Linked DNA regions of Struthio camelus. The protein of the gene in region 1 interacts with the protein of each later gene in a pairwise test. Links are inferred from orthologs where the notes say so. Each region holds a gene or a part of one and is shown on either strand. Other genes may lie near its edges.

Evidence for each region.
Region 2: the proteins of LNX1 (region 1) and AGTRAP interact in binary tests that used the Homo sapiens proteins (3 or more experiments, as listed by UniProt). The two-hybrid records come from large-scale screens. The link is inferred for Struthio camelus from reciprocal best matches to the Homo sapiens genes LNX1 and AGTRAP.
Region 3: the proteins of LNX1 (region 1) and TSSK3 interact in binary tests that used the Homo sapiens proteins (3 or more experiments, as listed by UniProt). The link is inferred for Struthio camelus from reciprocal best matches to the Homo sapiens genes LNX1 and TSSK3.
Region 4: the proteins of LNX1 (region 1) and BLVRA interact in a two-hybrid assay, tested with the Homo sapiens proteins (3 studies listed by BioGRID and IntAct). The link is inferred for Struthio camelus from reciprocal best matches to the Homo sapiens genes LNX1 and BLVRA.

What each region holds. Positions count from the first base shown.
Region 1 is NC_090945.1:57,112,056-57,119,100, reverse strand, and holds the start of LNX1 (E3 ubiquitin-protein ligase LNX), read right to left. Parts: upstream 3,017-7,045; 5' UTR 2,774-3,016; intron 1-2,773.
Region 2 is NC_090962.1:6,801,872-6,809,427, reverse strand, and holds the start of AGTRAP (type-1 angiotensin II receptor-associated protein), read right to left. Parts: upstream 3,014-7,556; 5' UTR 2,901-3,013; coding exon 2,874-2,900; intron 1-2,873. UniProt on the Homo sapiens protein: Appears to be a negative regulator of type-1 angiotensin II receptor-mediated signaling by regulating receptor internalization as well as mechanism of receptor desensitization such as phosphorylation.
Region 3 is NC_090964.1:8,519,996-8,525,854, forward strand, and holds TSSK3 (testis-specific serine/threonine-protein kinase 3), read right to left. Parts: upstream 1,923-5,859; 5' UTR 1,870-1,922; coding exon 1,725-1,869; intron 1,286-1,724; coding exon 624-1,285; 3' UTR 521-623; downstream 1-520. Other genes in the region: KPNA6 (importin subunit alpha-7), read left to right, coding at 3,791-3,794. UniProt on the Homo sapiens protein: Serine/threonine protein kinase required for spermatid development and male fertility.
Region 4 is NC_090943.1:60,052,769-60,060,361, reverse strand, and holds the start of BLVRA (biliverdin reductase A), read right to left. Parts: upstream 3,013-7,593; 5' UTR 2,775-3,012; intron 1-2,774. UniProt on the Homo sapiens protein: Reduces the gamma-methene bridge of the open tetrapyrrole, biliverdin IXalpha, to bilirubin with the concomitant oxidation of a NADH or NADPH cofactor. Does not reduce bilirubin IXbeta.

The DNA.
Region 1 (7,045 bases):
CAGCTCCCAGTGCCTCTCCCTGCACCAGGAGGTGTCACGAGGCGCTAGACAGACAGTCATCCTCTTCTGCTGTGGCCCTCTCAGCTGCCGGGGGGGGGGGGGGGGGTCTCCTCCCACTGCTGGGCACCAGCAGTGCCCGCCTCTGAGGTGGGATGGGCAGTTGAGCTTCCCAGCCCTCACCACCGCCACAGCTCCAGGCTGCAAGCCCAGCTCACCTTGACCAAAGTGGAGTAGGAAATGGCCACGGAGCAGCTTGGGAAGCAGATGTTACCTCCAGCAGGCAGACGGGCAGCCAAGACCTTTCCAGCTGGTGCAGGGGGGAGCAGGAGAGACACGCATGGCCAGGGAATGAGCTTCAGGTAGCTCCAGCAAGAAGAGCGTGATGGAGAAAAACCTGGCAGCAAGCCCTGTGTGGTTCCCAGGATGGATGCCAGAAATGCCAGGTTTCCCTTGCTGATTTCTACATTGCAACTGCTCGTCGCCAACAACAAACCCTGCAGCATTCAATAATTTAAGCTTTTAAACTCCCATATGGAGATGGGGAAAGGGAGAGGAGAAGAGGAGGGGGGTTCTGAGGACAGCCCAACTTTGTTCTGAGCTTGCTGAAGCATATTTTGGGATTAACATGCTGCACGAGACACAGAGCCTTGACCACAAACCAGCTAAAAGCCCTTTAACAGATTTTACAAAGGGAGTGGTCTGGGAAAGTTTTAGAATGACAAAATGATGAAACTTTCTCCGGGAGCTGGAAAATACCAAAATATATGTATACTGTGTATTGAGAGTATGATTGTTGGTTGTGACTCATTAGCCACATTAGTTTCTATTACCTAGAATCTTCCATGAAATGTGTGTAGAGAGAAACATGGAAAGTTATCAACAAAAACTTATTTTCTATGTATTTTTTTCCTATCTTCTTCAGTCTTTTTGTTTTGGGTTCCATGCACACAACTGTACTAATCAAATGGAAATACTTCCAGTTTTTAGGACTAAAGCTGGAAAAAAAGTTACATTTTCCTGCAAAATTTTCATGTGAATTTTCTGCGTGTGAAATTTTCACATCTAAAATTTTTTTTGCCATTGGTGCGTGTGTATGTGTGTGAGTGTGTACATACTCCCTAGGAATATTCTAGTGGAAACATTTGAGTGCTGATCAGTTTACCTAGTTAACCAGAGCTGGGCACTTAAGGTTTTGTACTTGCAAATGATCTTCACAACAACACAAGCTTTTGGCTAACTAAGGGCCATCTAACCTAGAAAGAAAAATCTGTTCAAGTAGCCAACAGCAAAAAGGTAAAATGCTGAGAATGAAATATTTGCAAATGGTCCAGAGCTGAGAATTGTTCCCCTAAGAAATTTTGAAGAAATGTCAAATAATGAATCTGTTAAGTGCTTGCATTTTGCACTTTCAGGAAGTAAAATTAATCAGACTGCTAATTACAGTCATTTGCCTCACTGTAGTTAGGATCTTCACACGTGGGCTAGAAGCCATCTACTACAATGTCTAAAGGCCTTCTGGAGGATTAAAGTTAGGACAGGAAAGCACAGCTTTGTTTAGTTTTGTCTGCTTTTGTTGTGTGTGAATTTAATTTGCCTCTGCATTTTTCCTGATTATTTTACTTGGATGTGGTTTTTTTACTACTAGATTGTGGGGCTTTTTTTGCTCTCCTTAAGATAGTATCTTAAGTAGCACCCACTGTCAAGAAACCTCTGTGTCCCGTTGCACGAACATCCTACACTCTTGCATTTAAGGACTTGTTTAGTTCTAATGGAAATCATTTGCTTTGGGTGGTCCTCACTGCATACACTAATTTCCATCCAGCACTCTATAGGAAGCCAAGTGAACCCCAGTAAAACGCGCTCTCGGAAGCCAGCTCTGCCAAGCAAGCACGTTGCTGTGTTTGAACTAGAGTTTTGTTAAGATGAGCAGTTTGATTTATGGGCATATTGCTAGACATATTCCTGCAAGTCATAGATTGCTATCAGTAAACCCTAACCCATCAAGAAGGAGTGCAGTCTGCCAGGATATCATGCACAGAAGAACTATCTCATAGGGTCATGCTGTTTAGGCACCAAGAAATAACGAGGAGCCCACACAAAGCCAAATGGTTTGGAACATTTTGATAAAACAAATGCCAGAGCTCTTAACAGAGGGAAGTTGAGGTTCTCCAAAATAGTTTTCTTCCTCCCTAGCATTATTTTCAGTCTTATCTGGCTCAGATTCAGTAACTGATTTTCATCCAGTTACTATTTTAACTGGGCCCTGGAGACCTTCTCAGGCATCTTAGTTATTTTTAAATCCCCTGTGAAGGTAATGTAGAACTGAAGTACCGTAGGCATATTGCATACTGTCTATGCTTCAAATCTCTCCTGTACCACAGATGTTGAACTGGGCAGGAGAAAAGGTGGCTGCCTATGTAAACGTGCTGGATGTCAACAAGCCAGTTGCCATCAAAGCGCTGAGAGGAACGGCTGACGTTATTGCAGCATTATCTCACTAATCAGCCAGCCCACGAGAACATGGGCTGTGTGGGATTCACCAGCACACAGCTCTGAGGAGGTTTTCAGAAAAATCAAACTGGGCTTAGCCAATTCAGCAAGAAAATATAGAAAGTTTTCAGCAGTGGGAAGCCTTTCTTAAAATACTGAAGTTCTGAAAATTGGAAATGTCCATACATGATAGTGCTGAGTACCACACAATAATTACTAAAAATGTCATAGTGAAAATTCATCAGTTCCTATTTTGAGCTCTGTGCAGTGCTGAAACACTTACCCCTCCTTGTGGATCTGATGTAGGTATCTGTATGTTCTCACCGTGGTATCTGTCACCGGCAGTCTCTTGCTCTGTTGTACATACTGCTCTCCCCCCAGACAAAAAAAGGAAGCCATACCACCAGATATGGTCCCACCAGCTTGTCCAGCGAAGTAGAAGTGACCTTGTAGTTTTCTTCTGTTGCTGCCACTATGGAAAATATTAGTACCAGAACTGAAGCCACACTCACCCATTCTTCATTTCTGATTTCTCTTCTCTGAGCAGATAAGAATGACCTAGGGCCTCGGAGTGTGTTTTACATCAAAGACTGATGAAGAGTCCTGACAGCCTTGATGTCAGTGTTGTAAATAAACCATTAATCACACTGCCATTCCAGGGAACAACCTTTTCCCAAAGGGCATGAACCTTCTTCAGGCCACTAATATAAACCACATCTCCTCTAATCCAGTGGGGTAGTGGTAATGTCAGGGCTTTCAAGGTGGGCTGACTCTGTGTGAGGGGGATACTCCATTACTCTCATTTTAAAGCATAGGTCATTGCTATGGTTCCACTGGATTATAAATGGTCAATCAACAGAGAAGCAGTTACAGTGAATTAAATAAAGTGTATTACATTTGGAACTACAGAGGCAAATAGAAGGAGTAGAAGGCTCAGTGTCCTGTTAAAACTTTTTGCTTTAGAGTCAGGCACTGTATGTAAACCTAATGTGGAAGTATAAGAGAAACAATAGGTTCAGTGATCTGGCAAGTAACCAGAACAATGTGGTTATAGTAAACACTGCAGAGCCTAACACAGTGAATAAAAATGTGTCTATTATTAAAGGAGAACTTGATTTTTAAATGAATCCCAGGCCACTGCCTTGCCAGAAGTATTCTGAATATTATTACACACTACGGAGGGCTATAACTGACTCTTCAATTTGATCATCAGTGGAAATAAATTATTATTTATGTATACTTTTAAATATATTTTTGTTATATATACTTATATATACATATATATTAAAAAACCACCATATTTAGCATGATTTGGAAATACAGCTAAAAACAAAGTTGGTTCAGTCTGTGCTCCATAGCTGAACTGTTCAACCATCATAACTGCATTGCAAGCAGAAATCTGGTCTTCTGAAAGTGTAGCTTTTGCAATGGGAATTGCCTCATTCAGTATGGTCCTCTGTACCTCCCAGTGAAAAACAGCATAAAGGAGACGGTGGAAGTACAGCAAGGCTGGTTGCATCTTCCCGGCATTGGAGACTCCAGAGGGCCAGTGGTGAGTGCCAAAAGTTAATTCAAGGTAGCCCTAAATCAGGGAGATGGGGACTACTCTAAATCATGCCTTGAATTCCTGTCCTATGGTACACAGTGCTTAAAAAACACAAATTTTTTTTGATAAATTACAAAAAAAAATGGCCCCAAGAGCACGCTTGCCAGCTGGCCGTGGCCATTTTCACACACTGCCTCCACACCACAGCCTGGCATGGAGACTGCTAACGTAGCTTTCTGTTACCAGAGAAACCCCCCACTTTTCCTCCTGAGACTGAGTCTCTGGTTTAAGGCTGCTCAGTGTGGTTTATGCATTCAGTCCAGACAGCACAGTTTTGAAATTATGCTTATAAAAACGCTCCCGAGCAGAGAAGGTGACGGGTGGCTGTAAGCTGCTCTAACTTGTGTCTGTGGTCCTCTGGGAATGACCTCTGCTACACACACTGACAGGGGTTCATGTCGTCATCCAGACCTTAATCTACTTCACTGACGGTGCTAGTTTTAGGTCTTACAAGTGAAATGTAATATCCCACAGTTTGACTTTGCTAAGTACTCTGAAGTCAGACACTTCTGCTAACTCAAGTGGGCACTGAACTGAATCTGTATAAACAAGGCTACTGTCCAAGCGCAGACTCCTTACCAAGCACATTGCTCGCTGATCCATCCTGCACTACTTGCCAGGTACCACAAGCCAAGGTCTCATCTGTTCCACAAATACAGCTAATAAACTATTAAATCACAACTCTGCTGTGCTGGTTCTATTTAAAACACAGTTAGGACCAGGCCCACGGCCCTGCTAAAGCTGCGGGTGACCAGCAGTAGCCTTATAACCAAAGAAAACAGGGCGCGTAGGGGTGAGCGTGTTTGCATAAGCTTGACTGTAAAAGCCTGACTCCCTTGCCTGATGCTTTAACCAGAACCAGAAGATGATCCTGCTGATTTGGAATGGGGTTTTTGAAGAGAAAAATGAACTAAAGAAATGTTCTTCTCCATTGAGGCACAGACCAGCTGTGGAGGCCAAAATGCTGCTACTTAAAAATGTCTTTTGCAGACAAAGGGTCAGGATTTTCTAAGCTGGCCAAAGAATCACTTGCTATAACCACACTTTGGTCAGGATTCAACAACTAGATTCATGCCCAACAACCAGATTCATGACTTGGGCCTCCCACAGACATCCTTGGGGAAAGGGGGACTAGGTATGCCTCCTTTGACTTACATCAACAGAAGCTCAGCTGCGGTTTTCTAAGTCTCATGTCATGTTCTGCATGCTTTTGTGTTCAATACAATATTTATTTCAATTTAAAATCACAATTTTCTTTAAAATGCTTACTTCAAGGCTTTTCTGTGCACCAGCAATATCATATTTTGAGCTTGAACTTAATGTACAGGCCTACCTCCACTTCAGAAAAAATTATTTCTAAAAAGTCATAAATATCACTTTGATCCTTTTAAAGCAATGACAGTAAGTTGAATTACGGGCACAAAATATTGGATCTTTTCTATTTATAATTTCTTAAGGAATCTTTGAGTTGAAGAATGTAGTCCATAAAATAATGAAAGAAAATCTATACTTAAGATATATTGCTTCTAATCAAGCGACTAGAAGGCTTGAACTGAATTTATACTAAGTAAAAATACCTAACTGAGGTTCCCAATGTACAAGTTAACGCTATTCTGACAGCCAGGGACAGTGAAAGAGGATTAGCTCTGTCACTTTCTATATTTGACAGAAAAAAAAGTTTTGAAACATACATTTGAGCCAGACAGAAGATACCCAGGAGGTCTCAAGAAGTAGAGGTGTGCACACCTTAGTACTTCTACTGAACCAGACTGAGGTTTATGCAGGCATTTCCATAGTCGCCAACTAATTAAACCAATCTATTGGTAAAAAGGGATCCAGGAACTACACGTGTGGACTATGCGCAGCTGGACTCAGCCACAGCCTGGTTTCTCTCTTGCCACATCACTGCACGGACTGCCTGTGCCGCGTTTCCATCCGCACCACTCTGCTAAGGTTCACAGGCCGTGCTACCACCCCTCCCTTACCATGCCGCAGCTTTTTGCTTCCCAGGATCCTGCCACCACTTTTCAGAGAGGTGCCAGTGTGGGTCTGCGAGAAAGGGGTGGCCAAGGGACTTCCACTGGGTCTGCTGCTCCGAGACACTCCTGCCCATCCGTCTGGACTGCTCGGCCTCAGTAATGCATCGTAAGCCTGCCTGGAGCCGGCCAGGCAAGGGAAGTGCCTGCAATTCCCTGCTCCCTTTTACTGCTCCCTCCCCTGAAGACAGTGCAACAATTAGGCATAGGAAAAACAGGCAGCAGGACCTACTGCTGACCTCCCGCTGCTACCAGCAGCCCGCTGCTCCCTGCACCGTGTCTAAACCAGCCCTGACAACACACTCATCTTTCCTTTCCAAGGTGCCATGCGGGGTCCGGAGCCCTGAAATAGCCAAAAATTTCAGGGGCTATTTCAGATGATTCAGGTGTCGGTGGTCACCAGCAAGGCTCCGCAGCTCCTACCAGCGAAGAGAACGGTGAATGCCTGTAAACAAATGAATATTTTTTAGTGTTAACTCTAGCTGCCTCCGTCTGGTGTGTATTCTACAGTGTGTCAGGAAAGGGTTTTTTTCCTAAACAAGAGGAAAACTAAATACAAGTAATTAATTTTGGTGCCGTTAAAACATAACAGACATCTGTTTTGTAGCGGTGGAAAGGAGACTTAGCATTAAGTACAGTTCATATTACCTCATGAAAAGGACATGGTACAAGACATGCAAACGTGTTTCTCAAAATTACAATCTAATGCGATTTGGCGAATCTACCTTCTGCAAAAAGTAGTCAAACACTTCTCTTTAAGGTATATCAGTAGGGTAAAGCCTCACTTGCAGGTACACAGGATTAAAGCCCAAGTCTGTAAAACTTCAGGGGTACAAAAGAAGAATTTGAACATGATTACTGAGGGTTTTCTGATGTTTGCAAATGTAACACAGTCCTTTAACTTTACTGACAG
Region 2 (7,556 bases), on another chromosome or scaffold:
ATTAAAAGCATCCCATTGGAAACTGAGGAGAGCTGAAGGGAATTCCTGGCTCCTCCACAAATCCCAGCATGTGATGGAACTAATTGGCAAGCATAAAAGACACTTGGTCTGTCTGGTTCCGGTTGGATGGGAAATTCTTTGGAATGGGACCTCCCTCTTTCAAACATGCCTCAGCACAGAACCTTCAAGCATAAGGTTGAATTTTGCCCAAATTAAAATGCCATGATTCCAAATGACAATTCTTTTCTTTTATTATCTGCCTCTTTCTTGCAAGTGAGCTCATCTACTCTATGAATTGCTTACATTCATCTGAGGATGCACTAACCCAAAAATAGATCCGAGTGGCCACTTGTGAGTGAACTCCTTAGGTCCTCTCATTATTATCCCATAGTGCACAGTTTCATACCCAGACTAACCACAACCTGAAGGATGTTTGTTGAGCACACTGAGCCAGATTCTTCTTAGAGATGCCCAAAGAAAGAACAAGAGGCAAAAAAAAAAGCAGTTACAGCAAGGGAAATTTCAGCTGGATACAAGGATAAAATTCATAATGAGAGTGGTTAGGCACTGGAACAGGCTATCCAGGGAAGTTGTAGAGGCTCTGTCCTTGGAGATGTTTAAAACTGAGCTAAATTTTGAGTTGAGCAATTTGATCTAACTCAGAAGTTAGCTTTGCTTGGAGCAGGAGGCTGACCTAGATGACAAGCAAAGCTAACTTCTGAGTTTGCTGACTATTACTACGCGAGCTGAGCCAGTAGATGTTCTTCCATGAGAATGTTCCTCATCTGCTCCAGGAAAAAGCCTGCTACATCAATTTTTTAGTTCTGCGTGTAGCCTGAAGAGAGGCCTTAAGGCTAAGACATTGCTGTGTTCTGGCACAAACACAGCTCAGTCATACCGTTTTCTTGGAGCTACTTCTATCATGAGGCTTATCTTTCTAATCTCTCAGAAACTCTAAGCAGATCATTCTGATGAATAGCAGTGGTGTGTGTTGTTTTCAGTCCCTTTCTGAATAAGGCCCTTCCCCATCTTGGCGATCTGTTTCAGAGAAGCAGCCCCCAACTCAGGGACAAGACAAAGATGCAGGTACAATTATTAACCCACTACTCCCTAGCCCTCAGACCAGTACCAGCAGACTTTAAAACAAGGAATTGCTTAATGCTGAAAACCATTTGCCCAGGACAAGTTTGCTCTTATCTAGGAAGAGATTTGGGACTGGTTATATGAAACCAGAGGAAAAGCAACATTTTGGTTATGTTGTCATGGTGGCTCCTTCATTCAAGAAGTATGTCTGTATTTCAGCTCCCGTGTCTCTGTCTCCCGTGGTGAATCATTTATTTCATTGGTAAACCTTTTAATTAGATGTCCTTGCTTTTCACTGTTGTTTTAGCATAGAAAAAAAAAAAACTGAAACAAGTTATAAACAAAGCAGAAAACAAGATCTTTTAATCTTCCTAGTGCCCAGGGAATCACCCAATAGTCCAAATTTCCCAGAGCAAAATATCAGTTGGTTTCCAGAATGCAATATAATCTACATGCCAAGCCTTGAAAAATCCATTTGCTTACTTGCCCCAGGAAAATTGCTTTTCTTGGTGACCTAGTAAGAGTGTAAAGCCATGAATATATGAACTCCAAACTTTCATTTTGAACAGCCACATTAAAGTCTTGTTATACAAAGTTGAATTCTTAAGGGTAGCTGAGACAGTACTGCTCTCCCCACCTGTAGGCAGCCAGCTCCAAGGCCACTGCTCACAGCTTTATGAATCAATAGCAGAAAAAAAAGAAAAGAAAAAAAAAAAAACCCCACAGATGAGATCAGCAATGCTTTCAGTCTTCGTTTGGTCAAAGTTATAACCAAAGAAAGCCCCTGAAACTTGCCGCACCAAGCAACACATGTAAACTAGGGAACCTGGAAAAAGGCACGTACACATCTAGAAGTCTCAGAGCTCTGAAAATATGGTAGAAGGAGGAAAAAAAGGAGGAAATTTTCTTCTGAGTGGTATCAGGGAAGGCTTCAATTTCAAACAGCAACATGAAAAGCAAAAAAAAAAGATTTTCGCCTCCCCTAGCTTATGGATAAGGATGTACTTCTTGCCAAAGTGAAAAGTCTAATATACCTTTGAGAAGTCCCTTATTTTCCATGCCTTTGGTTAACAGATATCCAGTGAAAAATTCAAATTACCTCCGTTCCCTGCCCCCCAAAAGAAACCAGAAAAGCAATTTCAGTTATCTACCAGAGGATAACCCCGAAGCAAATGGGATCATCTTTCCAAGATATCTTGCCTGACAAGCAAAAGCTTTGCCTCCTCAGGATCTTGTGTAGTGTTTATCCTAGATTAACCCCGGTCAGCTGAGCTAGGAACCTCTGTGGACACAAGTTAGTTCAGTTGTTGTCGTCCCAACCCAGTCCTTGGCCACTTTAGCAAACTGCCCTGAAGCAAAAGTGAACCTTGGGGTCACTGCCTGACAGTCTTAATGACTAAGAGTTTTTGCAACGTTTACCCTGGTGATGAAAAAGATTTAGAAGTACCAGTTATTCCTCCACACGGAGACTTCCACTTCTCCTGACCGAGCCTGAAGCGGGCACAAAGCTGGCCATCGGCCAGGCAGGCCGGGCCATGGCCCGCTCTCCGGGGACGCCAACCAGCTCCCTAGTCCTCCCATTCGAGGACTTCAACCGAGACCCTCGCAGCCCTCCCCGCTCCTCACTGCGGAGCCCTCCGCCGGCCCTCGGCCCGCCCTGGGCACCTCCCGGGCGTGCAGGGCTCGGAGACGCGGGACGCGGCGCGGGCAGACCGCCCCTCGGCCGGGGCGACCCTGCCCCGCGGGGGGCAGCCGGCACTGGCTCTGCCCAACGCCCCCGCGACCCCTACCTTGAGGCTGACAGCAGGCAGCTCCATGGCAGCGGCCCGCCCGCTCGCCCCGTGACTCCCAGCGGCGGGGCCGCCTCACGTGGGGCTGGGCCGGGCCCCGCCGCCGCCACGGGCTGGTCTCGGGCCGCCCAGGGGAGGGCAGAGGGGCGGGAGGAGCCGGGACGGCGCCTCGCCTCGCCTCGCCCGACGGGGGCGTCCGTCAGCATCCGGCCGACCCCAGGCCCACTGCAGGCCCTCTAGACTTCCCCTGCGGGGGGCTCCCTGGGCCCTGGCGGCCCTTCCTCACGTCAGGAGGATGGCAGGCCGAGGCCCTGCCATGAACTGTGCCCTCTGCCCCGGCCAGCGAAATGGGACCTCTCAGTCGCCCCTTGCACACCCTCAGCTGAGATACTGCCATCCCCAGCGCTATCTGGTGCGACAGCCCTTTAGCAGTAATAAAAGTTTGGGTTTGAAAGTGAAGATGTGGTGTGAGAGCGGGACTGGGCCCTGCAGGGCACTCCAAGGACAGCAGTGATGTTTCCATGCCCTGCTTTGTGCATTGTCTGTTATTGATGTTGCCCGAAAAGCTTCCAGAGTAGGCCACCTTCACTTGCAAGCCAAACATGAATATGCATTTGGGCTATGCTGTAGTGTCCATAGGAGTTTAAAATGTCCAGTTTCTCCTGACTGCTTCACCTCACCTCAGAGCTGTCATGCAGTTTGAGGAAGGTGTCTGAGGAGCAGGAGCCTTAACTGAATTAGCCTGAGACTCGGCAAAACCAGGACATTTCCAGTAAAGAGACAGCAAGTTTCATTAATCATGAAGGCATTTAATAAATACATCAGATGCTCTCATCTCAGCAGAATGTGTGGCAAAGGGCATACTTAAGTATTCCAGGGACACTATGACTCTGCAGGCTTTTCACATGTAAAACTGTACTGCTGTTAACACTAGTAGTCAGGGAAAGTCCGTGGTGCTCATACCTTAAGGAATCTAGGACAATCGAAACAGTAGAAAACAGGGACGTTTTCCCAGGACATCCTATTTCATTAAATTTATTTGCTGCTATCTGATACGTATTGCACAGCACCTGCAACACCGAGGAGAAAAAGCCATCACTAGGTTAGAAGGGTAATGGGATCACTTTGTTTGTTAACGCCAAACATCCAAGCAAACAGCTCTTGCTACTTACAGAAGCAGTGCAGCTGTGGGAAGGTGTAACAGCATATTTGGGCTGTAGTCAGGGTCCCAAAAGGCTAAAGTGTATTTAGTGCTTAGCAGCTTTCTGGAGGAAAAGAAAGCTCTTGTGCACACATCAGTAGTGTGACCAAAAGACAGTAAGTGTGGGGAGTGGAAAAGAGGTCTTAAACACTACCACCACCAAAAAAAAAATTGCAAGATGTTTGTTGCACTCAGCTGTATCATACAACAAAGCAGCCATGTTCAACTCAATTTGATTGTCCTTTGGGGTTGAGTGCTTGAGTCTCTAGCCCTGTGGCTAGAATGGCTAGCAGATACTTAGTTGCATCCCTTGGCCCTTTTGATTTTTCCCTAGAACTAGATCACTGAATTCTTTCCTAATGCAATTTCCTCCTCCTGCAACTTCAAAGCAGAACAGTCTATGCCAAGAGGATTTGGGGAGTGGGGAGGATTACACTAAGGTGTGCTCTTGACAGACACGCTTGAAAGTCCTTTCTGATCCCAATAAGGGAGAGCTGCCTCGTACAAAACAGGCATTCTTCCATTGTCATTCTGAAAGAAGACTATTCCCATTTTAGAATTCCTGCCCAGTTCATAGTACCATTCTTTTCCCCAGGTATGACAAAGGAACTAATAACACCAAGAAGCCGGGCTGACTCCTTTTCAAACCCTGCCTTCCTTGCCCAGTGTATACTTTACCTGTCTGCCGTGTCCATCCACAATGCATTACTGGATCAGGTGCTTTCTTGTCGTCATTCAGGTGTGCTCATTATTTATTCTAGCAGAAAAGATGGGGCCACTGAGGAATGAGCAAGGAGTCAGAAGTTCATTGCAGAGGCTGAATATGTGAATCATCGTTCAATCCCATTTCTAGTTCAAGCAGTGCAGTGCAAGATTATGCATATGAGTGATGCAATGCTGAACCTGTGTTCACAGTTCATCAGGCAAAGCACGAATGTAGCTCTATCCAGGCTGTCCTTCACTGCATACTGAGTCCCATTGACTGCTAATACACAGCACACTGAGATTTCCCAAGACAAAGTACTAAATGGCAAACTGAATCAACTCAGAAAATGGTAACCAGAAGTGCCAGAAGAGAACTGATTAGCTGCATAGCAGCTAAACAGCAGGAAAAAAAAGCTGTAAAAGTGCACCCAAAATCTCTAGTTGTACCACTTTACCAGATGAAAGACTGAAAAATAATTCATCTATTGCCACATCCCCCAATAGCTGTGACTTTCTTTCCATTTCTGTACCTTGCAGGGAAGCCCTGCCTCCACTCACAGAAGTAGTGGTGTCAAATGGGATCAATAATAATGCTCCCAGTGATGCCAAGGACTGTATTTTACCCTAAATGGCAAAAAGAAGTTGTGGCACCTAAAAAAAAGATAAAGAGAGACTTTGAATAGCCTTATTGCTGCCTCAATGCTTGGGTGAAAACAGCAATAGGAATGCCCTTCCACCAGGACAGGTATCTAGCAAAGGAATAATGTTGTTATAAAGACAAATTCCACTGTCATGCTGCAGCCTAGTTTAAGTATAAGCACTGTTTAGATGCAGCAGTAAGTGGGCGTCTTTGCTCCTTTCAACGTGTTCACTCAGTCTGAGTGAGACAGAGAGTCTCATTATCATTTATACAGCGCGAGCCATAATTTGGATTGATGTGACTGCTGTTTAATGCAAAGCATTCGTTTCCCCTTGTACAATAAAAGCACTTTACTTCATTTTGTTCATCAATGTATTGTGCAATTAATTCAGCCCTGCTTATTATATCCTGGGCTTGCATGTCGTGGACTCGAGGGACTCAGAAGTGTCTTCATGATCTCATGGATATGAAAACAATGAGAACTGTGACAGACATTATGCATTTGCACGTCTCTCACACCTATCTGATCGGGGGGATTTATTGTTTTTTATCTCTGCTTTGCTTTGCTTGTACCTTGTAAATTGTCTGTCTGTGTAATCTGCTGCCTCTTTCCCTTCCCTAGGCTTGATAATTCAGAGCAACATAAATATGGTGCGAAAGACAAGCAGCGAGATAAAGAAGAAGACCTGCAGCGAGAAATAGATGACCCAGGAGACTGGAAAGACGATATGGAGATTTTCCTGAGTAGCAGACTTGTCAAGTGAGTTCAGCTGAGTACAACTAATATAATATCCATTGTATAGCTGGTTCGTCAAGTATATTGGTGATATGCCTTCTGCAGGGTGGGTAAAAACCTATTACACAGCTGGCTCCCTTCGTGACAGCATAAAAAGGAGGCAAAGAAGGCAGAAGTGCTTTCCTTTGTGTCTTCAGGACACTGTAGTTTTGATGTACAAAGTTACAGCAGTTCTGTAGGGCAGCAGCAGAGCTGATACAGTTGCCCCTGCTGTCCCTATCTGGCCTGTGGAGATTGAGACAAGCTCACCCCTCATAGTTCTGCCCTTCTTGTCCCTCACTCAGGCTCTAATCTGAAGGTAACTGAAGACTGCCGATGACACTGGTATCTTTGAGTTGTGCCCTTGTCTCGAGAGCTGAGAGCAATGAAGGCACTCGCCCTGCACAAATGCGTGTATTATCTATAGAGCCTTTCTGAATAAGAAGCGAGGAAGGACATACAGAAGTTGTCCTGGCTCTGCAAACTCTCTCTGAGATCCCAGTGGGAAATCAGCAAGCAGAAACATTATCATTAGGACTGGAGGGGAAAGTGAAGGCATTTTGTAATGCTGGTGGGGAACCTCCTCCTGCAGCTTCACTGCAGAACAGTCTATGGCAAGATGATTTGAGGAGTGGGGAGGGTTACACTAAGGTGTGATCTTGACAAACATGAAAGTCTTTTCTGATATCATCAGGGAAGAGCTGCTCTTCTGATTTTCTAAAATCTAACTAGAGCTTTGAGAGGTAATTGAGGGACTACTTTTCAAGATTTGCTGGCGCTCTAGAAAATGAATTGAGATAGCAGAAATGGGTTTTAGGGGTGCATGTGATCACTCAGAACATTCCAAGAAAACAACAGCCCTCGTTGTTTCTGATAAAACACATGAACAGCAATGTTTTCTCCAGGCTTTATGCAGTAGAAACTCTGACTGGCATGGACTGGAACAATTTATTATAGCATGGGTTTGAAACTGAAGCACTTCTCCACACTGTGGATTGACAACAGGGTAATTAGCTGGGGGGGGGGGGAGGAGAGACAGTTTCAGTAAGACAACCCCCAAGCTAAAATGAATGCAGACTATTACAGACCTGAGACAGAGTGATTCCCAAGTGTTTTAATTTGTGCTTCCCCTCCTTATCTTGCTTGCACTCATCATTTTGGCAACTGCCAGCAATATTCCTGAGATTCAGCTGCATTCACAGAGCAGGCAGCTGCTGAGATAATTATGTCAAATCAGCACGCTGTCCTCTCGTTTCCATGTCTAATGACTCTCACCCTTGGAGAAGTGGCTCAGAACGATGCATGCCCTTTGGATTTATTGTGAGGCTGCTAACAGCAGTGACTCCAGAGCAGGAGTTTGGG
Region 3 (5,859 bases), on another chromosome or scaffold:
TTGCAGTTAACAGCAATTAAAGGAATTCTACAGAGTCGCTGCCTGTACTGGGTGTCCTCATTTCGTCTGCCGGCAGGGTGGGGGCTGCCCAGAGGGTCTGTGTCTCTTGGACTGGTTTTGATTTCTTTTCCCTCCCACCTCCGCCGAGGGACATGCGCTTGGTTGGGAGGATGCTGGAAGAGAGGGATAGGGCATGCTGGGCTGTCCTTTGGCTTAGTGCCTTGGCTGCATCTTCTCCGTAGTGGCTAGCCAGGCAGGGGAAGGGCTGGGGTGAAGCTTCCCGCCCTGCTCGTGGCCAGGGACACACGGCCGTGGATCCGCCGGCTGTGTGAGACGTGCCAGTGCTTGAGATGGTCTTGGGAAGGTGGGCAAACGCTGCTCAAAGCTCCTTGGAGCACGTATAAAGCACGCCTTGTTCTCAACTCATGAAGGCCAGGGGCTTTGGGTGAACAGATGAAATGCCTGAGCATGGGCTAGACCCATCATCTTGGCTCTGCCAGCCAAGGCCTGGCCTGGCCTGCCCCCCGCGGGATGGATGGGTGGGAAACACTGACGTGAAAATGTATCAGCGTTTTAGAAGCAATCCGTCCCCTTTATTTGGGGACAGCATTGACGAGCCCTTCTCAGGGGCTAGTCAGCCACGGGTGCCAGCTGACTTCCTCGATGGAAGGCCTCAGGATCATATCTGGCTCCAGGAGGCTTTTCAGGAGGTCCTGGCACTCCTCGGAGACCCCCAGGTGCCTTGGCAGGGAGACCCCTTTCTGCTGCTGGCGCAGCATCTTGGGGATGTCCGTGTCGTCGAAGGGCAGGCTGGCGCACAGCATCACGTAGAGGATGACACCCGTGCTCCAGACGTCACCCTTGCGGCTGTCGTGGGGGACGCCCTGCAGCACCTCGGGCGCCGCGTAGGCCGTGCTGCCGCAGAAGGTCTGGCTCAGCTCCTTGCGGTTCCTGGGCAGCAGCTTGGCAAAGCCGAAGTCCGTCAGCTTCAGGGTGAAGCCCTGCAGCAAGGCGTTCTCGCACTTGAGGTCGCGGTGCGCCACGCCACAGCCGTGGCAGTACCGGATGGCCTCGACCAGCTGGTGGAAGAGGGCCCTGGCGCGGCGCTCGGGCAGGGGCCCTTCGTGCAGCACGCAATCGAAGATGTCCCCGTCCTCCGCCAGCTCCATCACCAGGTAGATCTTCCCTTCGGCAGACTCCAGCATCTCATACACACGGATGATGTTCTTGTGGTCCAAGCGCTGGACGATCTGGAGCTCCCGGGGCAGGAATCTCTGGATAAACTCTGCGGCGAGAGAAAGAGGGGTTTGCTTGCACTGCGGGGATGAGGACGGCCCTTCGTCCCTGAGCTGCTGGCTCCTGTCACCCCTCCAGGGCTTGGCCAAAGGGGTGGGTGGAGAGAGGGAAGGTCCTTTCACGGGGGCCCTATTCCTTATGGCCTTGCACCGAGCATCCCTGCAGGGCTTCTCCCAGAGCGATGCAGGGACCGGGGACGCAGGGAAGCACGGCCTGATGCCCCGGGCTGTGCTTTCTGCCTGCAGCAGGGAAATGCGGGAGCTCTCCCACCCCCCTGGAGCTCGGGGGCAGCTGGAGCCCCCCAAGACGCTGCCTCCTCTCCTGCTCCTCGGAGGAAAGTTTGGGAAACTAGTTTTCTGCCAAGAACGAGAAGCCTCCAAGGAGAGACCGAGCCTCAGCCTGGAGTCCTCTCCGGTGTCATCTCTTACCATCTGGACCTTCCTTCTTATCAATAATTTTAACAGCCACTTTCTTCTGGTGCTTTTTGGAGAAAGCCTCCTTCACTTTGGAGTAGGTTCCCTCCCCAATGGTCTTGCCCAACTGGTAGCCATTGACGAGCAAAATCTCCTCCATCTCCTCTCGCAAACCGGGCCCGTCCGTTCTCTCAGGTCATCGCACAGCAACTCCGCGAGAGCATCCCAGCGCCCGGCGGCCGCCCGCGCCCCCGGCTGGCATCTGCTGCAGCCGCCGCGCCGCTGCGTCCCCGGCCCGGGCAAAGCCCCCGGGAAAGGGGGCACCTAGGGACATTTTAAGATGCGCGTGTCCTATTGTGATGCAGGTGACGCTGCGTGAATCGGGTGATGGAGGGGCGCCCGAACGGGCAGTGGCTCGGGGGCAGCGGTGATGGGCTGCGCTGAAACGACCTCCTGGCAGGCGCCGTGAGCAGGTGGCGGTCGGGGTGCGGGGCTGGGGGGCCCTCCGGGTGCTCCCCATCCTTTTGCTGTCTCTGATCTCCCTGCGTCCTGTCCCTGCTGCTCTGTTCCCCCCCAGGGCAGGATTTGGGGAGGTGGCGGGGGGGTTCGGAGCAGGAGGCGACACGCGGGAAACGCTCCGCTCCTCGGCGGCATCCTCCACCTCCGGCAGTGGCCCCGCAGGGAAAGACCCCGGGCGGCCGAGCGTTGCCCACGCACCCCACGCTGGACCCGGCCCCTGCTCTCGCCTCTCCGTCCAGCTCGAGTTTTTCCAGCCGGGGAAGCGGGGAGCAGGGGGTTTTCCCGGTGGCGCGGGTGCCGGCGGCATTGTGATGCGGGGGCGCGCGGCGGGTCACAGAGCACCTGGCCCCGCTGCCGCCACCGCGCTCAGCTCAGGCAGGGACGCCGCCGAGCCACCGCACGCGCCACGGGGCCCGGCCAGCGCCCCGCAGCGTGGGGCCGGGGGGTCGGCTGCCGCCCCGCGCGCCTGCCCTAACCCCCCCGCTCTCCTCTCCGCTCGCCCAGGTCTAGGGCTCGGACATGAACTCCCAGGAGACCCCGCAAGCTCGGAGGTTTCCCATAGAGGCGGGCGACTCTCCCGGCCTGGCCGTGGCTCCCGAAACGCAGGAGCCGGTAGCCGCTCAGCAGAGCGCGGGAAGGTAAGGGCTGTGCCCCCTCCGTGTCCCCTCCTTGGCGAACACAGCTGTTTTGCTCCCCAAAACATCACCCCAACGGCCCGAGACCCTCCGTCCTGCGGGGGGGCCAGGTTGGCCCCCCGCTTTCCTGCATGCCTGAGGGCTTTCTCGGGACAAGGTGCGCTGTGCCGTGCCGTGCCGTGCAACGCTGTGCCGTGCCCCGCGATGCTGCGCCGTGCTGCTCCACGCAGCCCAAGCAATGGCATGCAGTGCTGTGCCATGCCGTGCCGTGCCGTGTTGTGGCGTGCCATGCTGGGCCATGCCGGGCCATTTTCTGCCACGCCATGCCGTGCCGTGTCATGCTGTGCCACGCTGTGGCATGCCGTGCCGTGCCGCTGGGCTAACCCTGCTCTCTCTCCCTCCGCAGGCAGCTGCGACGATGCCCCGGGAGCCACTGCCTGACCCTGCCCAACATCCCCATTGACGTTTTCATTGCCATGGGTGGGAACCGCCGGCCTCGCACCACCTAACGGCCCCCGCGCCGGCGCGGCACGAACGGCCCCGGAGCGGGAGAGCAGCGCGGGACACGCGGATCGGCGACGCACTTTATAATAAAAGGACTTCTTAGAGCGTTTCGGCGCCTCTCCTCCTGGCCTGCTGCCCGCCACCGGGGTTTTGGGGGTTGGGACGGGACGGGGCGGTGCTGGTGCTGGTGCTGGTGCTGGTGCTGGTGCTGGTGCTGGTGCTGGTGCTGCGCTGCCGCCCCCGGCCGCTGGGGGCGCCCTTGCGGCGCGGGGCGCTCCTTTAAGGGGCGGGGCGCCCGCAGCGCTGGAGGAGGTTTGTCCCTTCGCGGCCGCCGTTCGCCGTCTTCTCCCCTCGCCCTCCCTCTGTCGCTGCCCGCCATATTGTGGCCGCCGCAGCTCGGGAGCCGCAGCCGGAGGAGCCGCGATGGGTGAGGGCGGCCGCGGGGGTTGAGGCGGGGGGAGGCCGGGTCGGGCCGGGGGCAGCACAGCCCGTCCCGTCCCGGCGGCTCGTAGCCGGGCAGCGGGGTGGCAGCTCCCGGGGTGTGTGTGTGGGGGGGGGGACCTGCGCGACCGCCCCGCCGGAGGGGCCGGTGGTTTTTGAGGTGAGTTTTCGGGGTTTTGGGGCGGGAGCCCCCTCTGCCTCGGGGTCGGAGCCGGCGGCGGCGGCCTTTGAAGGGAGCTGCCGCTGCTGAAGCTTCGCCGCGGCGTCTGGGGCCTGCTGGCGCGCCTGTGCTCTCTGAGGGATTTAAATGCTGAAGTCCGTAAGGGAGCGGGACTTGCCGGGCCGAGCTGCTGCTGTGCCGCTCGGCCCGCGGGCGAGCTGGCGGCGCCCCGCTCCTTTCGCCGGGCCTGCCCTTCTGCCTCTTGCGCTAACGCCGCAGCCTGCAGTTTTTCCCTCTCTCCGTGCTGCACAAACCTCACTCGCAAGTTGTAATTCCGGCCTAAGCTGGGTGAGCACCCGCCTTGCACGCGGTTACGTCTGTTCCTTGTCGTGGTAGGAAATCGAGGGTGAACGCTTCGCGTTTAACGCAGCACCAGCAGCCGTGTAAGCGTAAACGCGGAGAGGCTGTCGGATAGCACTGACTCCGTACGGCATGTCACTGTAGACAAAACAGTCTCCCGACGCTGTGCAGGAAACGAGTATAGTGGGTGACTTTGTATATTCATAAGCAGCCTAACTAAATATAGTTAAGCAAGGGTTCAGGGAGATAGCAGATAGCTATCTTTTGTTAGCTACAAATAGTTCATAGCTGAACGTTGTCCTTCAAAAGGCATTTCAATAACAGAAGACTTCTTTTGTTGTCTTTGAGGTAGCGCCAGAGGCTCCCTAGTCAAGGAAGCAGAAATGTCACTTTTTTGAGGCTTAAAGTAGCAAGGCAGGGTTGAATGGATGAGGTGAATGTAAAAGGCAAGCCTACAGCAGGCTTATCCCTTACAAAGTAGAGTAAGATTCCCCTGTGAAGTAAGGACTAGTTTGTTATCAATTTTAAGCAGCAGTATTATCTTTTGACCAGACCTGCTTTCAGAAGTCTTAAATGCCCTTTATAGTGGGATGCAGCTTGATCAAAATGACCTTGTTAGAAACTCTTGTTCCTTCTTCAAACACCTCTTGTGATGTTCCAGAAGAAGTTAGTGGCTGCAAGTCTGCATATGCAGTGGCTACAGAACTATCCAGTCTAGAGTAGCTTTTAAAACTTAATTTATAGCTTGAGATTTAAGATCTTGACTGGCAACTTTGAGTAGAAAAATGTCCTCAGGCCTGTTGGTGAATGTCTGAAAACTGTGTGTTACCCACAGCTGAGGAAGCTTATGCAAAGAAGCTCTCCTGTCCTTTCCCCTCCCATTCCCCAGTTTCATGTTTGAGCTTCAAGCAGACTTTTTTTCTTGACAGCCACAATTTAATACTCTTCCTTCTCTGAGTGATCCTAGTATAACTGTTTTAATTTGTTTTAACAAACCAAGGCTGCTTTATCTGTGTTTTGGGGTAATGCAGCTAAATTGTGGAAGGACAGCATTGCCCCTTTTGCTTTGTATGTTGCAGGTTGAATACAGTTGTGTTTTATAAGTAGCTATAGGATATTGGTCTTGCCAGTGTTACTGGAAATGGTCATCAGGTCTTCTCCTTCATTTGTTATGCAAATTCATGTCTAAATGTTTTTATTGCATATGGAGCATAATGCTCAGTTCTTAAACCAAAACTTATGTGGCTGATGGATGATTAGTTTAACTAGTTATTTGGCTAGTTTGCTTTGTTTGTTTGTGTTTAGCAGAGAGCAAACATGAACTTTGTAAAGGGGAGCTCAATCATTAAAATGGCTAGTGTAATAGTGAAAGTACTAATTCCTTCATCCTTTTGGTTTTCAACTGTTGTGCTAGTGAGACTCAACCTCAAACTTGCTCATCAGAAATCAGTACTGTTTGGTTGCTTCTGTAGCAAAGCACATGTTGGGAAGGATAAGCTTGTTGGGATCTCAGCCCTCTGACTTCCTTCTG
Region 4 (7,593 bases), on another chromosome or scaffold:
CCTAATTAGCACAGTAGATCTCTGTCTGGGTTGCAAATGTTGGTAGGAAACGTTTAAGTTCAGTTAAACAAAGAGCCAAACCTCTTTTTGCTTAGTTGAGAAGGCCAACCATATATTGCACTTACTTTATGAAGTTTCAAGATGTAGGCCCACCAGTTCGGCCCCGTGTGCATGAGAACACTTCATGGTTTAAGGCCAGCTCCATAGGAGGGGGCTAGGCCCTCAACAACCTTTGATCTCCTAAATTAAAACTGGGCATGTATACACTCAATACTTTTACCACAGGATTAAGTTGCTAAGTGCCTTAGCTTTCAAGTCTGTTTTTTTTTTTTCCGTAAGCCCCATTCCCACCCCTATCAATGAAGCAACCATTTTAACTCCTTACATTATGCTTCTAGTGTACTTTATTGAGCAAGTTCTCTTTCTACACTGAGCACTAACTGAAAGCTTCAGAAGGATACAGTTCCTGAAAATCAGAAGTGAAAGGGCCGTTCCTGGTCCCATATATGTCAATGTTGCTGTACCGCTGTGCTTCAAGGAACTCCTTGCCTGGGGGGTTGTTGTCCCACTGCAGATACATATCGCAGCCCTTTCTGTTAGTTTCTTCACTTATTTCCAACAATGCTTTGTTTTTAATCTATTTTCTGACTGCTGTTTACCTGGCCAAGGAGGGCAGCACAAATAGTACTTTAATGGACTACTTTGGGGCTAACAGATAATTATTGAAGCTTCTACAGCAAATCTGTGCAGAGGAACGCAAGGCGTAACATGCTCTCTACGAGCCATATGCACCTGTGGTGACTGAGAGGTATCATTAAAATGCACAGACGTCAATGTGCTTTTCACGCCTGCATTTTACTGAAATTTTGACGCCCCAGTGCAAGAGAGGAAGCAATTCCAGTTTTAATTCAGGAATTGGTCAGTTCATTTCTCCATTCATCTTTGTTTTTTTCAACATGGACGGTGCATATTCAGTTGTGAAAAGGAACAAAGATCAAGCTGGCTTTTTGCTCATCTTATTCTCATACGCTGAGCTTACTTTCTGAAGTTAGTGGATACTGTAGACGTTCTTCACTAAAACTGAGTTTGAAAACTAGGAAGAAAAGATTCTCCGTTTTAGCCACACAAAATAAGTATTGCCCGTTCTTTAAGAATAACACGTGCCACACTTCTTTGATCTGAACTCCAGATGCTTCCAAACCACAGCTCAACTGACTTTCTAAAGAAACTATGAGGTTAGTATGAGAAAGAAGTCTATTAACCATGTGCATGTGAAAATTAACAGGACAAGGTTACATCAGCCCTCAAGTAGAAGGGAAGTTTAACAATGGAAATGATACAATTTCCAATACTAGTGAGATGAAAGAAATACAACATTAGGCAAGCTAGTGAACTAAAATTAGTATTTGTTTAGAAAATACTACTAGTTCTTGGCACAAAAATCTGTGAAGAATATTTTTATTCCAAGCTGGAAACTTCATTAGCTAGGCTGATCGCTCATTACTTCTCTGAATATAAGTTTAAACATTTGTCAGTTGCTCTGCAGTTTGTGAAAACTAAAACTTTACAATGGATTCATATCATTAAAAAAGATTTCTGTATTTTCTCATTTACTGGCACAGACCACAGAAAGATGCTCAAACGCTATGAAATCAGTTTTTGGCATTGTGTTGTTCTCTGCTAGCATCTGTGATTAGAGGATCAACAGCTGAATGACTGTCTTCATTAAATGAAAACTAATTTGGCAAACCAATGCAAGGAGTCTGCTGATGCACTACATTATCATGTTCTATTGCCCCTGATACCTGATAAGTTATTTTGCCAAAAAACACTTCAATAAGCTGCTGTCCTAATTAACATTAACTAGCTTGTTTTTTTGAACAACCTCCAATACAGAAGTATAGCATGATGCCAGGAAAAGGCTACATGAAGGCTGAGCCTATCTTTCATTGTGCGTAGACTGGAAGCAACCACTGAGCCATGATTTATGTTTTCTAAGATAGTTAGATATAAGTGGTAACTGTGACTACAGCATAAAGTAGTATCAATAAAGTGTCAATGTATTTTACACATGGATTCTACACTGTATCTGAGAACATAAGAATCATCTCTCTCCCACCAAGGGCCATCTGGAATATTTCAGCATCTCACAAGCCGCACCACATTCCTTTGCAATAGGAAAATACTATCATCTATGCTTTACACATGGGTAAAATGAGGTACAGCAAGGTTAGTGGTCTATTTTTCAGAAATAGGGTCTCAAACACCCACAATAGCCATGGTTTTTAACAGGATTTGCAGGAAGCTCTGCAGGTCCAAAAACATGCCCAGAAGACACTACGTACAAAAGGTTTTGAATGACCTCTCACTATCTCACCATGCAGAGCTCTGGCCACCTCCTGATACTACTTGGTTATTTTCATATCATTTATGAGCTAACACTCTACTTCAACACAGGGCACCTCTGACATATTTCCAACCAAACGTTTTTTCTGGGTTTTTTTGTTTGTTTTTCTTTCTCCCTCTTTTTTTTTAAAGCCCCTCTCAAGTTTGGCCTGTCTCCTCTACTCTGGTGGGTGTCTCTGTCTTTAGAGCAACTAGGGTAGCACCTATGCAAAGACTTGCTAGACTCCCCCACCCCTTCACAACAGCGGGGGGGGGGGGGGGGACACTGGTGGCAAGCAATCTTGGGAAGGGTGGAGGCGGTCAGAAGACTAAAGCGGTGCTTCCAAATCCTAATTACTGTTAGCAGGGATTAAGTAATAGTCACTAACCTCTTCAGTTCACAGAGGAGAAACGTGATCCTGTTTAATTCGCCTCCACTCCCTGCAGCTCCTTCTTATACAACACTCAGCAGCTCCAGCATATCAATGTGCTGCTCTCCCTGCTGCTACTAGGGCTGCTATCAGTGCAGCAACACCCCCTTGGCCAGGAATCCAATAAGGACACTACAGGGGCGGGCTATAGCCAGGAGCAGCCATAGCAGCAGAAAGGCTGCTATAGGCACTGAGCCTGGGAGATATCACCTCACCTAGGAAACCCGAAGAAAGCCACACCTGGCTAGCAGGCGGCATCACCTCCCTGGTGCCCGGGGCAAGGACCTGATTAACCCTCCGCAGTGGGGTTTCTCCCAGCCAGGCGTTATCCAGAGGAGCCCAGCTGTGCACTGGGCTGTGGAGGCTAGTACGTCAGCCTCCTATGCGCCCACCCGGCTGCATCTGTAGGCTTTGCTACAGGCTGAGTCCTTGCTTGGGGGAGCAGGAGTTTCAGCAGCGCCAAGCCTGGGGTAGCCTCCCCTGCGGGAAAGCAAACACGCCAATCTGTGTCTGGCTTTGCCCTGGCAGCCTACGTACAGGAAGCAGCTGTAGGGACAGCGCAGTCCAGGTTATGCAAGCTCTTACTCAAGATTACTTCTCCCCATTTCTACAGAAATTGCTTCCTGGCCCACAACACCACACTGTGCTTAAGCCCTAGCTTTTCCTTAGAGAGCCACTTTTTACCAGATCTTACTCCTAGCCTCTTCACTAGTTTCCGCACGTGCGTGTCTTATCTTCATACAGCAGTGCTTTCAGCTGGTTCATTCAGGGCTGGGAAGATAAAAGCCTGGGAGGGTGCAGCTATTTTCCCTGTAGCTTGTAGTTCCTGCAATGAACAGCGCGTGCAGCCGGGATAGTCTGAATTCCACAGACCAGTCTACACTGCGCCGATGCTGGGCATTTGCAGGCTAGTATAGCACCTCAAACTGTGTCACATTAGGACTACAGGTACAAAGGATCAAATTCTGTAAACATTCATCTCAGATGTCATGTAGAAATAACTGGAGAAATCAGCAGCAGTATTTTTTTGCACCCGAGTGTGTTCAATTCATTGTATTTCTGGTAAATTTTGGGACTTGCTATGCGTAAGTAGTAATGGCATAAATAGTAATCTGCCTTCTTCCTATAAAGCTTAAAAAAAAAATCAGCACAGCTCTAGATTCCTTAAACTCTTTATTCTGAAATTCTGTAGGAAGGGATCAAAAGGATATGTGATACATCTTTCTTTTCATCTTTTCCCATTCATTTCTTCTGATTAGTTAATTTCCTTACCAGCAAGTACTCAGGAACTCAGTCTCCTGGGTACGTTTGCTTTTCTGGAGTCATGTTTTCTGAGCCAGATACGGAGTTCTAAGTCAGGCAAAACTTCCGTGGTCCAACATGACTTAATCTGAACACAGCTTTTATACTGACACTACTACCCTGGATGTTTCAAATATGTTACAGGATGTTTCAAAATTCTCTCCTCCCCCTCTCAAACTCTTAATAGCACCATAGGCTAAAGCACAGATACACAGAACAACAGCTCTAATTACAGTAGTTGCACAACTGCAGTAACAAGGAGCTTCAGAGTATGACTAAGGAACTACATCCTAGACTAACAAGCAGGAAGCTTAAAGTGCAGCAAAGAAAGAATGAAGGCCTGTAACAGGTATGCACGGTAATAGCTAAAGCAGGACTCGCTGACCAGGAGATATAGCATTTAAAGATATATAACATGATTTCAACATGTGGGGCTGCTAGTGACTAGCACATGACTATATACTTAGCATAAAGGAATGAATCAATTAGCACATGATAGGAAATCATAACGAATGGCATAATGTCTGAAATAATGCATATGGGATGGATTAGAAGCAGCTGTAGCTCCGAGTCTTTGGATTCAGTAATAGTGCTAGCATTTGTACAGCGATATATGTTCAACAGGATCCTGGACCTGTTTGATCTCATAATTAACCTCAGAAAAAAGAAAAAAACAAAACAAAACGAAAACATAAACCCCCCTACTTTCCAGATGGATCAGCTCCCAAAACAAGGGTGGGAGTGGCAACACACAGCTAAAGCAGAGCACAGTTACCTCTTTCCAACACAAGCGCACTGCAGATTTAGGTTAGGTAAAACTGATCAGGTAACTATATTTTTTGGCACCACTACTTTCAGTCTGATCCCCAGTATACAGCTTCGAGCTCGCTCTTTGCCCTAGGTTTGTTTATTTACTCGGGTGCCTAAGTCATAAATCAAACACTTAATTGCACTGTAGACCTAGGGAAGTTCAAAGGGGTTGAGGGGCTGCTCCTTCAAAGAGGTGGAATGAGAAATGAGCGTTGGGGCAGGCATTTGTGGCCAAGGAGGGGGCAGCCGGCATGGCAGGAGAAGCTGGGATCCCCAGCGCGGCAGCAGTGGTGAGGGGGAAACACAGACCTTGGAAGCAGCAGCACACAGCTCCGTGGTATATAGATGCCTTAAAGAGTCTGTTCCTCTTTCCAGATGGAAATTAATATAGAGTATCTATAAATAATGAGTAGCTTTCAATACTAATAAAACTTCACCAAAATTTCATGGTTGCTGTATAGCTTTCATCATTGCTAAATAACAAGGACAAGGCCTGTAGGGGTGGTTAGGCTTACTTAGGCATAGCTGGGAACTATAGACAAGCTTTTGGCACAAAATCCTTCTTCAGGTGTGAAACATATAAAACAGATTTTCAAGTGAAACACAAATTGAAAACCGTTTTTCAGAGAGACTAGTTAGATGTGTAAGAGTTGGACGACCTCTGAAGGTAAACGTGGCTGGTCCCCACAGCGAAAGGATGTTAGTAGTGAGGGAGGAGGAGGGAAAGAGGTTAAAAAAACCCTATGTGACTTTGTATACAAAACAGCCTTTTAACAGGGCTTATCTGCATGAGCATCGGAGGAGTTCCCATTAGAATTAGCTGCCTCCAGTTCCTTCCAGTTGTGCTGTATTTCTCCTTGTCATTTTTTGCCATATCTTCACATCTTTTTGTCTCGTTTTACTGGTTGTCTTTTCATGTCTTGTTTCTCCCCACTCTCACCTTCCCCAGTCCCACAAGCATTACAAGTCCTAGCAAGTAGCTGATGTATTAATTAACTTCAACTATAACCTAGCAGTCTCTCACTTTTTGATTTCGCTAGGAGCAACAAAGCAATGCAAAATAACGTAATCACTCTGATGACAGGACTTCATTGGCAACCACTGGAAGCTCTACAAGGGAAAAAACAGTTATATTTGGAAGAACTCCATAAGCAGACAGTATTCCCACTAAAACACAATGGCAGAAACAGAAGTTACAATCACAAGCCAAAAGTGTAAATAAGAAGTTGGAAACTACTTGGATAAGAAAACAAACTGAGAAACGTTTGGTTCAACTTCTCTCCGCCAGGAAGCTCATACAATAAATAGCCAAGCATGTATGCTGTAGTAAGAAATAGCAGCAGAGGACACTCTCAAATTGGGACAGTCGTCATTTTAATTTCAGATGAATCAAGGGTTCTGTGAGCCTGGTACTCAGGACCTTGTAATCTGGTAACATTCACATACACTTTACTGAACGCTCAAGCCTAAACGCTGATCTCAGTTACACCGCTAGAAAGCCTACTAAATACGCTCCAAGAGTGAGTGACACCAGGTTATGCGGTACAACGATGGGGGATTATTTAGAGTGAAAAGATAAGCAGAAGAGAGCGGTAATTAAATTAAACACGCCTATCTCTTTGTGGAATCAGTTCCCAGGCAGGATCTAAAATTCAAACCCAAGTCTCTCTCGACTGCTGAAAAGATGCTTACCGAAACTGTTTATTTTACTCTAACGCGTACGGGTGGCTTTTTAAAATATTCCGTTTTGGGGCTTGCCCTGGAAAAATAATAAAGTAGCACAAAAAAAGAATGACTTCCAGAACAAGGTAGGAAGTTTGTGTTTTGGATTATTGTTTCTGAACAGGCAGGATTTTGGATACACAGCAGCCTGCACTTTGCCGCGGAAGTTGGCCGAAAGGCGCAGCTGTCTCTACACAGGCTTGCAAGACTCTCCGCTGCTAACTCTCCTTGCCAGCAAGTATTATACCCTGCTGCCCTTGAATAGCACAAGGCAACTGAGGAAAAACAAAGCAAACTTACAGTGTTTTAACCAGATAGTCACAGGCAACAGAAAAACCCTTTTCCGCAGATCACCACCCCCCCCCCCGAGAAAGCAAGGAGCCCACTCAAGCCGCAGCCCCCACTCATTTCATCACCAGGGCCAAGGCCACCCTCCTCCGGCCGCAGCGAACGGGCGAGGCACGGACCGAGGAAACCCCCAGCCCAGCCCCCGAGGAGCAGGACCCTAGGAAAAATATCCCCTTAGTTTAAACACAGAAGGAGCCAGGGCCGGCGGGGCGGTGGCCGCCGCGGCAGCCACCTTCCCGCCGGCCGGCCCTCCCCTTCCCTCCGCGCCGCCCTGCAGCGCCCCCTGGCGGCGTCGGAGCCCGCGGCAATGGCGGCTCCCACGGCCCACGCGTGAGCCCTTCTGTCGACCGCCGCGCCGTGAGTGGGGGGGGGCAGCGGGGGCCGGGGCGCGGTGAGGGCGGTTACGGCCGTTAGGGCGGGGCCCCAGCCCCCTCCCTTGGCGCGCTCGGCGCTGCACAAAATGGCGGCCGCGGGGCCAGCTCTGGAGGGGAGCTGTGGGGAGCGGGGGTGGAGGGGCAGCGAGGGGGCTGAGACGGGGGGGGGGGGGGAGTTTACATTCAAGGCGATCGCACACCTGAAAAGCAGTGTTGAATGC